Canis lupus familiaris: one gene and its partners. The protein of the gene in region 1 binds, or shares a complex with, the protein of each later gene. Links are inferred from orthologs where the notes say so. Each region holds a gene or a part of one and is shown on either strand. Other genes may lie near its edges. The genes, in order: ACTR2, ARPC5L and ARPC5.

Evidence for each region.
Region 2: the proteins of ACTR2 (region 1) and ARPC5L are in contact, whole or in part, in a cryo-EM structure (PDB 6YW6), measured with the Homo sapiens proteins. The link is inferred for Canis lupus familiaris from reciprocal best matches to the Homo sapiens genes ACTR2 and ARPC5L. Residues at the interface, in NP_005713.1 of Homo sapiens: Tyr225, Glu263, Phe266, Gln267, Arg319, Lys322, Gln323, Ser338; in NP_112240.1 of Homo sapiens: Arg11, Arg12, Val13, Asp14, Ile15, Asp16, Glu20.
Region 3: ACTR2 (region 1) and ARPC5 share a complex: the UniProt entries of both Homo sapiens proteins name them as parts of the arp2/3 complex. The link is inferred for Canis lupus familiaris from reciprocal best matches to the Homo sapiens genes ACTR2 and ARPC5.

The regions. Positions count from the first base shown.
Region 1 is NC_049231.1:66,017,675-66,021,075, reverse strand, and holds part of ACTR2 (actin-related protein 2), read right to left. Parts: intron 3,028-3,401; coding exon 2,895-3,027; intron 1-2,894. UniProt on the Homo sapiens protein: ATP-binding component of the Arp2/3 complex, a multiprotein complex that mediates actin polymerization upon stimulation by nucleation-promoting factor (NPF).
Region 2 is NC_049230.1:58,232,366-58,236,809, forward strand, and holds the start of ARPC5L (actin-related protein 2/3 complex subunit 5-like protein), read right to left. Parts: upstream 2,914-4,444; 5' UTR 2,751-2,913; coding exon 2,602-2,750; intron 1-2,601. UniProt on the Homo sapiens protein: May function as component of the Arp2/3 complex which is involved in regulation of actin polymerization and together with an activating nucleation-promoting factor (NPF) mediates the formation of branched actin networks.
Region 3 is NC_049228.1:16,860,009-16,863,657, reverse strand, and holds part of ARPC5 (actin-related protein 2/3 complex subunit 5), read left to right. Parts: intron 1-2,023; coding exon 2,024-2,200; intron 2,201-3,649. UniProt on the Homo sapiens protein: Component of the Arp2/3 complex, a multiprotein complex that mediates actin polymerization upon stimulation by nucleation-promoting factor (NPF).

The DNA of each region.
Region 1 (3,401 bases):
GCTTTATGAAAATGATTTTTTCATATATTCTCCTGCTGAATTCTCACAAGTCCTGTGACATAAGTAGGACGGCACGATTCGGTATCTGAGACAGTGACATTTTTTGTATATTGCCCAAGGCTCACAGCTAAGAGATCACACACATCCATCCCAGTGCGCTCAGAACAGCCCTCATTTATACCCGTTGCCCCAACACTATTAACAACACCCCCGTCACTCTCAAAAGTGTCTTGATTTGACCAAGAGATTTCTACAATCAGCCTACTGAGAGCCCAAGTACCAGAGTCCTGATTGTGGCAGGTTTTCCCATCTCCTGGTGACGACCAGAGCAAATCACTTAGCCAGATGTCAAGAGTTTGGGTAAGAGGACTTCTACGGTTTCTTCAAGGTCTAATGCCTCTAAATCATAGAGGAAGGGGTCCCATGTAACTGTAAGATTGAAATTCTTTTCTTATAAGCAAAGCTCACTTTATATTGTCTCAAATTCAAATGAAATGTTCTCAAAATAAACAACCAAATATGGTCAAGTAAACCACGGGGATGCTGGAAGAATTGAACACAGCAACCAAAATTAAAGACAAGTGGGACAAGTTTTACACTCTGTAGTCACTCTTGATTATGTAACCACATAAAGACATACCTCAACCTTGCATGCGTGTGTGCTCTCTCCACCACTTCCTGGTGTTATCCTTAGTGACTTGGTCCTTCTCTCCCTCTTAAACTCAAGTGGCCCAACACCAACTACCGACTACACTTCACAGCTGCCCCCAGCAACTGTATACGACAGGTGAGAAACTCAACGTCTTGGTTTAACTGCATCACTTCTGTCACTTGAACCCCTCAGTGCAGCTCGGCAACTCCATGACACAGGTCTTCTCTCTTCTACTCGTCAAGACAACCATTCCATACCTCCTCCACTTCATAAACTTCCACCATCTCCCCCGTCCCTCCGAGCCTAACTCAGCCTTCTACAATCTTTCTTCCTCCCTCCAGCAACAATCTACTAACCACACCAGACTCAGCAATGATCCTTTTTAAAACAAGTCAGACCCTATCACTTTCCTGCTCAAAATCCTTCCCAGGCTTTCTATCTCATTAGGAGTGAAGCTAAAGCCTTCACTGTGGCTGAACAAGCCTTGCCTCCAACCACCTTTCTGAGCTCACTCCCAAGCCTCCTTGGGCTCACTCCTTCCCTTCTGGCCATGCCTGCACATTCCCAACAGCCCTTGCCGTTCCTGCCTGGAAGAGTCTTTGCACTGAGGGTTACGAGGCTCACTGCTCACTCTATTCAGGTCTCTGCTCAGAACCAATCCCTCAGAGCCCGGCCCTGACCACACTATAGAAAGATGTGTACCACCACTCACTACAGCTTTCTAGCCCCTGACCTTACTTCACTTTTCTTCACCGTGCCTTTTACTACGGACACATTCGCAGAATCCGAGTGGGGATCTGGTTTCTATTTACTACTGTTTTGCTTGTTTGGGCACCTGACAAGTGTTTGGCACCCAGAAGCAGTTCAAGAAATAATCACCTGAGACGAATTTTAAACTCTATGTGTAACTCAAAAATAGACAAATAAGCAAAATACTTAAACAAGGCTCCTTTTGAGTCTTTTAGTTTGTCCAATGCATGTGAATCCACATTCAATTCAATTTTCACAATCTGAGTCACAGTCGAAAGATATGACATTAGTATCTCTGATATATACGGTCCCCTGTAATATGTAATCTCATTATCTACAACAGCAGATCAAAGTTGCTAGGACAAAGCTCAGCGATTAACTCAGAATTCAATGACTCCCAGCTGAGTGCATAGTATATACACTATACTTCACACACTTCAGCGTTTGTAGGAAAAAAAAAAAAATCAATCCCAAATAACCATCAACTATTATATACTAGTTCATACATTATTTTTTATTCTATACATTCACAAGTACCAATTAACGCCTGTTTCAGGAGCTAAGATAGCTGATGGGGATTCAAAATATTTGACATATGATGTTTTACAATCTGATTAGGGAAATAAGACATATGCAAGAAACAGTCAGAAAAAATAACCTAAAATCAGAAAAATGAGACAGTCCAAGAGTAACAACGAAGGCTGATTACATATCCTAAAAGTAAGTTAAAAATCACCCCAAAACATCAAAGAAGTGTTTCTCTCTCCATAGTACAGCAGTCCCCACTTATCTGTGGCTTTGCTTTCTGTGGTTTCAGTTACTCATGGTCTGGAAGCAGATGATCTCTTTCTGACATATCACTACATCAAAAGGCCTGCATAACGCACGTCACCTCATCATGTAGGCATTTTATCCTCTCACATCATCACAAGAGTACAGTACAGTAAGATATTTTGAGAGAGAGACGTTCGTATAACTTTTATTCTACTATATTGTTATAACTGTCCTGTTTTATTGTTATTGTTAATCTCTTACTGGGTCTAATTTATATATTACTTATCATAGGTGTTCTTGTATAGGAAAAAACATAGCAACGTGGGATTCAGTATTATCTGTGGTTTCAGGCATCCACTGGAGGCCTTCAAACCTGTCCCCCACAGCAAAGGGTCTGGGGGAGGGACTTCTCTCGGCAGGTTCTTCCTGCACTTAGCGGCAGCTGACTCCAGGCTATTACAGATGAACCGGAACATTTGGCCCTGGACCTCACTGCCTCGGGCCACTGAATACAGAGCTGACCAGGCCGTACCACCGTTCTCAAACAGAGCTTACCTCCAGTCATTGACTTCTCCCTAGCTCTTCAAGGCTGCATGGGACTGCATTAATAATTTGTTTAGGAAGACTTCTTGCTCCCTCTGGTGGCTGTCAAGATTCACAAGCTACTTTACAGGGTTTTAAAAGTATGTTAACAGTTGCATTATTGATCTGTACTTACGGAAAGTTTTTCCACATCTCCCTTTAAAACTCGTTCTAGGTAAAGCTGTTTAAGTTCTCGTTCCAACCGTGATGGCAGCCCAGGGTACATAGTAGATCCTCCAGAGAGCACGATGTGCTTATAGAATTCAGATCTGGAAGGATATAAAAGGTACTCGTTTGGGGTTTCAGATGAGGAAAACAGTCTTTCAGTTTCTTTTATATCCGTTGGCCTCAGGGGGATTGCTGGGAGAATTAAATAAAACTCAACATGGAAGTTGCAGGGCTGAATGTTTGCTATTCACACTGCCAGTAGATAACCAACCCTCTGTACATGTGAAATACTGTAATTTTAATGAAATGACTTCTAAAGCATATGACATGCTTTCTTGCAAATATAACTGAGCCTTTATTTAAAAAGATTTTATTTCTTAAGAGAGTGAGCGAGCGCCGGGGGGCAGAGAGGAGTCAGAGAAGAGGGACAAGCAGACTCTGCACTAAGCATGAAGCCTGACTCCAAGCTCAATCT
Region 2 (4,444 bases), on another chromosome or scaffold:
GGGGAAAAGGGAATGCACAGCATTTATCAAGGTGGCCTCCGTGCTCAGCTCACAGAACAGGCTGTGGAGGCTACAGACCACTGCCCCTCGTCTCCTCTAGATCAGAATTTCTCAACCACAGCACTGACATTTTAGACCACACAACTGATGTGAGGTCTGCATGACATGGTGTTTAGCAGCATTGTGATAATCAAAATATCTCCAAACAATGCCAAATTTCTTCAGGGGGAGGAAAAAGTGCAAAAATGTTCAAAACCACTGCTTTGGACAGATCCCTAGTCCTGAGGACCAGAAGGTTCTTCAGTGAGGAAAAAAAGGAATGAATATTTTAAAAATCCCTACAAGGTTTCAGCTCCTGTGCCAGGTGCTTTCACATGTCATCTCAATACTTCAAACAACTCTCATTTGAAAGGCGATGCATTAGAGACTCAGAGAAAGGAAACGACCTGACAAAGTCACAAAGCTAAGCTGTCTAGCTGGCCTTCAAACCCAGGTATACCCAACTCCAGAGCCAAGCTTTTTCTACATACAATCCCCTGCTGTCCCTCTACCCACATACCTCAGCTGCATGTCTAGGACAGTTGCTGTGTGCCCAGCACTGTGAAGCTTCTGCAATGTTGTTGTGATGCTCCCATGGAAGCTGTAAGGCCATGGTTCCCCTCCTTTTCACAGAAAAGGATGCTGAGGTTCAGTTAGGGTATGAGGTCATAGCACGATAGAGTGAAGTCTGCGTGGATACACGGCCCATGTTCTAGTTCATCTGTCTGAATTCCTAGCATGACTCGATTCCCTATACGGCAGTAAGAAAGGCCTTCTCCTCCCTACCTTCCCCCACTCCAACCAATCAATCTCTATCTTCACTCCTCTGGTCTCTATTCTAAGATTCCTAAAAGCCTGTTCTACAGTTTAAGTCAGTGATCTAATATTAAGTCCAATAACTGGTACATGGTAGGGACTCAGTAAATACCAGTTCCTTCTTCCTCCCTCCCTGGGCTCCACAATTGCCAGGATCTCAGTTCTCACCTGCTAACCTCCTTTTCCCCAATCCCAAGAGATATACTGTCCATGGTAACAAGGTTTCTGACACTGTCACTAGTGGAGAAACTGCCACCAACTGGATGTGCTAAACCTAGGCCTCCAAGCAGCCTCAAGGAACCAATCACTAGTCCGAGGGCGTACCAAGAGATGACCTTCAACAAGTCCCTGCAGCACCAGGACCAAGACAGCAGATAACCAGACCTTGTTCTCCCCATCTGTGGATGGTACTGGGCCAGAAGCCTGACGTTGGAGCCTTTTTGGTACTGCCTGCCCATGAGCCAGGTCCTGCACCAGAATGCGGAATCAATCTTCCCTCATGAGGGTCATCCTCATGACCCCATTTCACCAATGGGGTAAATAAGATGATCCTGATAGCACAGAAAATACGAGTTTGAATCCTCACCTTCGAAAATACATTCCTGTTCAAACAAAGAAAGTCTGAAGGTTTTTGTTTCAAAGGCACATTGGCGGAACACTGCAGGACTCCTCCCTAAGGTAGTCCATGGGCCTGACTTCCCAAGCTGAGTCAACTGATTAAACACCCAGAACCTGATTTATACACACAGGAGCCTCCAACCCTGCCCTGGCAAGTGTGGGGGAGGGGTAGGCACTTCCCGTAACACCATTTGAATAAAGAAAAATCCTTCCTGTGAGAGTAAGTCAGTTTCCTGTGCTCAAACGGCTAAGGGACTAAGCAGGCTGTGACAACCACCTCTATTTTTAATCTTGTTTTCTAAATGCTTGCTTTCTGCGGCCACAAGAATAGTCACTTCCAGTCATGAGGCTCTACTTTTACATTTCACTTGATGCTGTCCGGTTTTTCTTAGCTCTAAACTACTAGCTTTTCCCCACTGCTTCCTGCACAAGAAGGCTATTTCGGGGAAGGAGCCAAAAGTCACTTGTTGAACGTGGCTAAGACATCAGGGTCCACAGCCCAAGGTGTTCACAGGAAACAAAACAGGTGAAAAAGAGTGGCATGAAGTTGGAGGGTCAGGCTGATTCTGGGGTGGGAGACGCACAGTCTCCCTAAGGCTGCAGCCCTCGTTCTCCCTTGGGTCCTTCCTACCCCTCGGCCACCCCCCACCTAACTTCGTGGGGTGACTGTGCCCGGGAGCCGTCTAAGGCAGCTCAATTACTCAGCGGGGCTCCCCTCGGCCCCTCCCGCCCATCTGGCGCGAGAACGGCCCCATTTCCTGCAAGGGAGGGATGGAGGGAGGGGGAGCCCGCGGAACGGTCAGTCTGAGGGGACGAGGGGCAGAAGGGGAGTAAAGAGGCCAGGCCTCGCGGAGGAGGGAGGGGCCTGCGGGGCTGCAGGTGCGTCGGGAGTAGCCGGCGGGTCCAGCCGGGTCCAGGGGCCGCGCTCCTGAAGGAGGCTCCGAAGGCCGAGCCCGGACGAGGGGACTGGAGCGGCCGCGTCAGAGGGAAGGGAGGACACATGCACTGAGGGAACCTGAGAGGAGCCGGGTCGGGAGGCACTTGGGAAACGGACCTCAGGGGCCGGGAAGTAGCGGGGTAGGAGGCCGGCCTGAGGGACACCCGGGCCGCTGCGCTGGGTAAGGATATTGCCGCAGAAGGCCATCCACCTCGCCAGGGTCCGGGCCTGGCTCGGCCGCCGCCGCCGCCGCCTCCTCCTGTTCGTCCACGAATTTGTTCTCGTCAAACTCGTCGATGTCCACCCGACGGAAGCGCGAGGACAGCGTGTTCCGGGCCATGGCGGGGACTCGGCGCCCGCTCAGCCGGCTCCGCTCCGGGTCCGACCTCCGATCTACTCCGCTCGGAACCGGCTCAGGATCGGGGGCGGGAAGCGGCCGCCCGGCGCCTCCTCCAGCTCCTCCGCGCGCAGACGCCGCCGCCCGCCCACTTCCGCGCTAGGCCGGAACCGGAAGTGCCGGCGGGCAGGAGGGGCGGAGCCTGCCGGCGGCGGGGCCGGAAGCGCGGGAGAGTCCCCCGGTTAGTTACTACCGGTAGCGCCGCGTCCGGCTCTCAGCTTCGGGAACCTCATTCTTGCCATCCGAGCAGCGGGCACTACGTCCCCACTCGGGCCTAGCGTCGTGGACGCCATAACTGTGCTCGGCTTCCTTTCCGAACCCGAGGAGACCCTGGCCCTGCAAGGGGCCTGCGCGGACTCGGCCGCAGAAGCGGGGTGGAGCCATCACTGCCCAGACTGAGGCGGCTCGGGCACCCCCGCAAGTGTAATGGTCACCTGACCTGGCAGGTGGGGGCGAGGAGAGAAAGAGGACCCTGAGGTCACCATCCTGACTTAAAGGGCGAGGTCCTGGAGGCTAAGAAGTCATTTCCGGCTGGAGAGGCATATCCTGGTGGGAAGCTGAGTCACCTAAGTGTGAGATGGGAAGAGACGGGACCGGGTGCCGAAGGGTAGGGGCAAGAACGACTCTGTGGTTCCAGGATTGGGTGCCTGGGCAGTGGCCTGCGGGATTCTGTTAATAGGCCTTAACCGTGGGATGCTTGGGTGGCTCAGCGGTCGAGCGTCTGCCTTCCGCCCAAGGCCTGATCCCGGAGTACCAGGAACCAGCCCCACACCACATCGGCCCCTGCGTGGAGCCTGCTTCTCCCTCTGCCTATGTCTCTGCCACTCTCTGTGTGTCTCTCATGAATAAATAAATTAAAATCTTTATTAAAAAATCGGCCTTAACCTTAGATTAAATTGGATCTTTGTTTTCATATAATTTTCCTTTTAAAAGATTTTAAGTAATCTCTACCCCCATCATGGGGCTGGAATTTACAACCCTGAGATCAAAAGTCACATGATGTACAAACAGCCAGGTCCCCTGAATTGTACTTTTTTTTTTTTTTTTTTTTTAATGATAGTCACACAGAGAGAGAGAAAGAGGCAGAGACACAGGCAGAGGGAGAAGCAGGCTCCATGCAGGGAGCCCGACGTGGGACTCAATCCCGGGTCTCCAGGATCACACCCTGGGCTGAAGGCAGGCGCCAAACCGCTGCGCCACCCAGGGATCCCGAATTGTACTCTTTTTAATAAAGGCCAAGGCTTAATGAAGTATGACTCGTTTTTATTGTTTCAAATACTTCTCATTGAATTGTGTCTACAGATCAAAAAATTATTGCCAGATTATGATGCTACCTAATTTTGGGTGCTAAAGATACAGACTTAGGCAGCCCTGGTGGTCCAGCGGTTTAGCGCCGCCTTCAGCCCAGGGCGTGATCCTGGAGTCCCGGGATCCAGTCCCACGTTGGGCTCTCTTCATGGAGCCTGCTTCTCCCTCTGCCTATGTCTCTGCCTCTCTCTCTCCCTCTGTGCCTCTCATGAATAAATAAATAAAATCATTTTTTAAAAATTTAAAGATACTCATGCTGGGAAGTAGGTGCTGAATAAAAGTCTCAGGGTCCTGGAAACAGGCAAAGCCCACTTGCCCTTCAGCTCCAT
Region 3 (3,649 bases), on another chromosome or scaffold:
CTGAAGAATAAACAATACTTTTACAAAATAAATAGATTCTATTTGGTTGCTTTTTAAAAATTTTTCTAAATTATCCAAGTATTAAATGTTTATAGAAAACTCAGAGAGAGGCAAAAAGGGGTAATCGTCATCATCCCACTGCCCAGAGATCATCGGTCTTTACTTTCTGGTGTTATATGCTTACAGAGCTTGTCTCTTAGTAGTTGTTTTTTAAATAAAAAGGGAGTTTTGTAATTGGCTTTTTTAATGATATACATGGACATCTTTCCTTGGCAGTAAGTTTATTTCTATAAGCACCTTTTTTAATGGCTGCATATAGATATGCTGCAGTTTACATATAACTAATCTTTTGTCATGTATTTAGATTATTGACCTTTTGTTGTTGTAAACAGTACGGAAATGAACAATTTTGAGTAAACTGTTAATTATTTCCTTTGAATAAATTCCTAGAAGCGAATTGCCGGGTTTTAGAATGCCATTTTTTAAGGCTTTTGTTACAAGTGGCATTGCCAAATTGCCCTTCAGAAAAACATGACTTAACGTTCCCTGCAACAGTCTTTCCGGAAATACTTGAGAACTTACTTACTAATTGTATAAAATGAAGCCCAGAGCTCTGACCCCATTGTCTGTAGGAGCCCTAAGGATCTCTTTAATTTGAGTACTAGTAATAACTTAGGTAAATGCATAATAATTATCTAGGCAACAATGAGAGGAAACATTTCTTTGGTTTTTGAAAGTGGTGAGGGACGTCATTGAGATTTCAATTTTACCACCTTCTGCTTTTATATGGGTGAGTTTTTATCACAGTTTGTGGGTGGGAAGTTATAGCTGTGGTTGTAAGAATATTTTTCTAAATTGGGTAATTGCTTAGTCTTTAAACTGAAGACAGCAATAGGTGGTAGAAACATTCTGTAAACTCCTGATCAGTAGGAATGCCAAAGATAATCACTCTTTCTTGAATAGGAGAAGTGAAATTGTTGAAAGGGTAAATTAAGTGTTCTTAATTAAGTGCTTGGCTTCTTGAGTGGAAAAATAACTTTGCTCTTGGAGCAGCCTTTTATCAGAAAAAAAAATTATAAATGAATATCACTATATCTACCTACTGTAGACAGGAAACTTAAATTTTCTTAAAAAGTTATTTTTATTAACTATTATTGAAGGATGGTTCAAGGTAGAACTGCAATTCATTGTCTTTGTCTTTGGGGTTTTCTCTGAGGTCAAGAAGTAAAATTTAAATGCCGACTTAATAAAGTTGGAAAATTACCATATCTCTTTGTAAGCAGATGCTTTCAGCTCTCCTTCAAACATGTCAAGAATCTGTCGTTCTCCTGAGCTACCATGCTAGCCCAAACCAGCCTATGTTATTGCAGTAACTTCCAGACTGGTCTCCCAGCCTTGTCCCCTGCCCCTCACCAACTTCCCATCAGCTCATCCTCAACATGGCAGCCAGAGTCAGATTATATCACTGTTATCTCATACACAGGTCAGATTCTATCACTGTTCTCAATATCTTCCAACATCTTCTCCTTTCTCTTAATGAAAGCCACAGTCTTCACAGCGGCCTGCGAGGGCTTACGTGGTCTGTCTTCGGCTACCTCCTGACCTGTCCTACTCCTCCACCATGTCGCTGGCTACCAGGGATCTTTCTGCTTTCCTTGAACACCCTGAACATACAGTGACAGCACATGTTCTTTCCTTCTTTCCTCTGAATACTTTTCTCAAATACCCCTAAGGATTCTTCTTTCATGTCCATCAGGTCTTTTTTTTTTTTTTTTTAAGGATTTTATTTATTGATTCATGAGAGACACAGAGAAAGGGAGAGGCAGATACACAGGCAGAGGGAGAAGCAGGCTCCACACAGGAGCCTGATGTGGGACTCGAACCCGGATCCCCAGGATCACACCCTGGGCTGATGGCTGAGCCACCTGGGCTGCACCATGTCCATCAGGTCTTAAGTGTCACCTTTTCCAGAACAACCACTCTACGTGCTTACGTGTGAATGCTCTGTTCTCTGTGTCCCCAGGATCGAGCGGGCAGTATTGTCTTGAAGGTGCTCATCTCTTTTAAAGCTAATGATATCGAGAAGGCAGTTCAGTCCCTGGACAAAAATGGTGTGGATCTCCTCATGAAATATATTTATAAAGGCTTCGAGAGCCCCTCTGACAACAGCAGTGCTGTGTTACTGCAATGGCATGAAAAGGTAAGTTACGACCTAGAGTCCCTCCAACTGGCCACTTATTGATAGAAAGTAACCATGACTGCTCTTCTCACCTAAATCATTATTTTGACTACATCATTTTCTTTACAAATAAATGCATGAAAACGAAAGCTTAGATTTATGTTTCCTAACCCTAGTCTTAAGAGATTTTGGTTTGCAACACATATTTATTCAGTAACGATTACTGTTCATTCAACATGATCTTGAACTTGGAACTAAATCCGAACTTTGAAAATAAGATAAACAATAAAAGTAAAAAATTCGTTGACCATGGCCAGAAGGTTAGAAACACACATGTGCCCAAGGACGGATGAATAGATAATCCTTTTTTTTTTTAAGATTTATTTATTTATTCGTGAGAGACACAGAGAGACACAGGCAGAGGGAGAAGCAGGCTCCATGCAGGGAGCCGGACATGGGACTCGATCCCAGGACTCCGGGATCACGCCCTGGGCAGAAGGCAGGCACTTAACTGCTGAGCCACCCAGGGATCCCCCAGATACTCCATTTTATGCATACACTACATTTTGTTTTTTTGAACAACAGAAAGAAGGAAATTACATACATGGCACAGCACGAATGAACCTTGAAAACGTTGTGCAAGGTGAAGTAAGCCTGTTGCAGAAAGACAAATTACGGTGTGATTCCACTTACAGGAAATACCTCGAAGAGGCAAATTCAGAGAGAGAGAGAGAGAAGATGAGAGGTTATCAGGGACTGGGGGAAGGGAGGATAGAGAGTTCTTACTTAATGGGGACAGTGTTTCTTTTTAGGGTGATGAAAATTATTGGAAACAGTGGTGACTATAATCCTGAGAATATAATGAGTGCCACTGAATTTTACCCTGAAAGATGGTTAAAGGAGCAAATTTCATGCTCTGTATGTTACAGGATTTAAAGAAAAGAAATCAGAGGTGGGGTAAGATCAAGAGTTCTTCAATGTTTTTCTGTTTTCATGCATTTGATTCTGCAGTGTGAGCAGATGGTGGTACACTGTCCCTCAAAAAATAGCTAAGGGAAATTTTTAGCGTTAGGTAAAAAGTTGGTAAGGTCATTTTTAATACCCAACTCTTGGGTAATATGGGTACAGATGTGAACAGTGTAACATTTAAATAGAACCAACCACAGGGAAGGGGTATATTCTAATATCTCTCAGTTCCCAACTCTCAGTCTTTAGAAGCTGTTGTCCGTGTATCTGAGTGAAAACACAAATGGAAGATGAGAATAGGCTGTAGAACTTGTCTTAATCAAGTCACTTGATCACTCATGCACTGTCAAAGAGAGCCTAACTTTTAGGGACAGGGTAACCAGACCTCCCTATTTTCCCAAGATGGCTCCAGTTTATGCCTGTTGTCCCAACATGATTATGAATAGTTCACTTTCACTCAGTGTACCAGTTGGAGAATAATGTATATGGTCATCCTATTCAGGA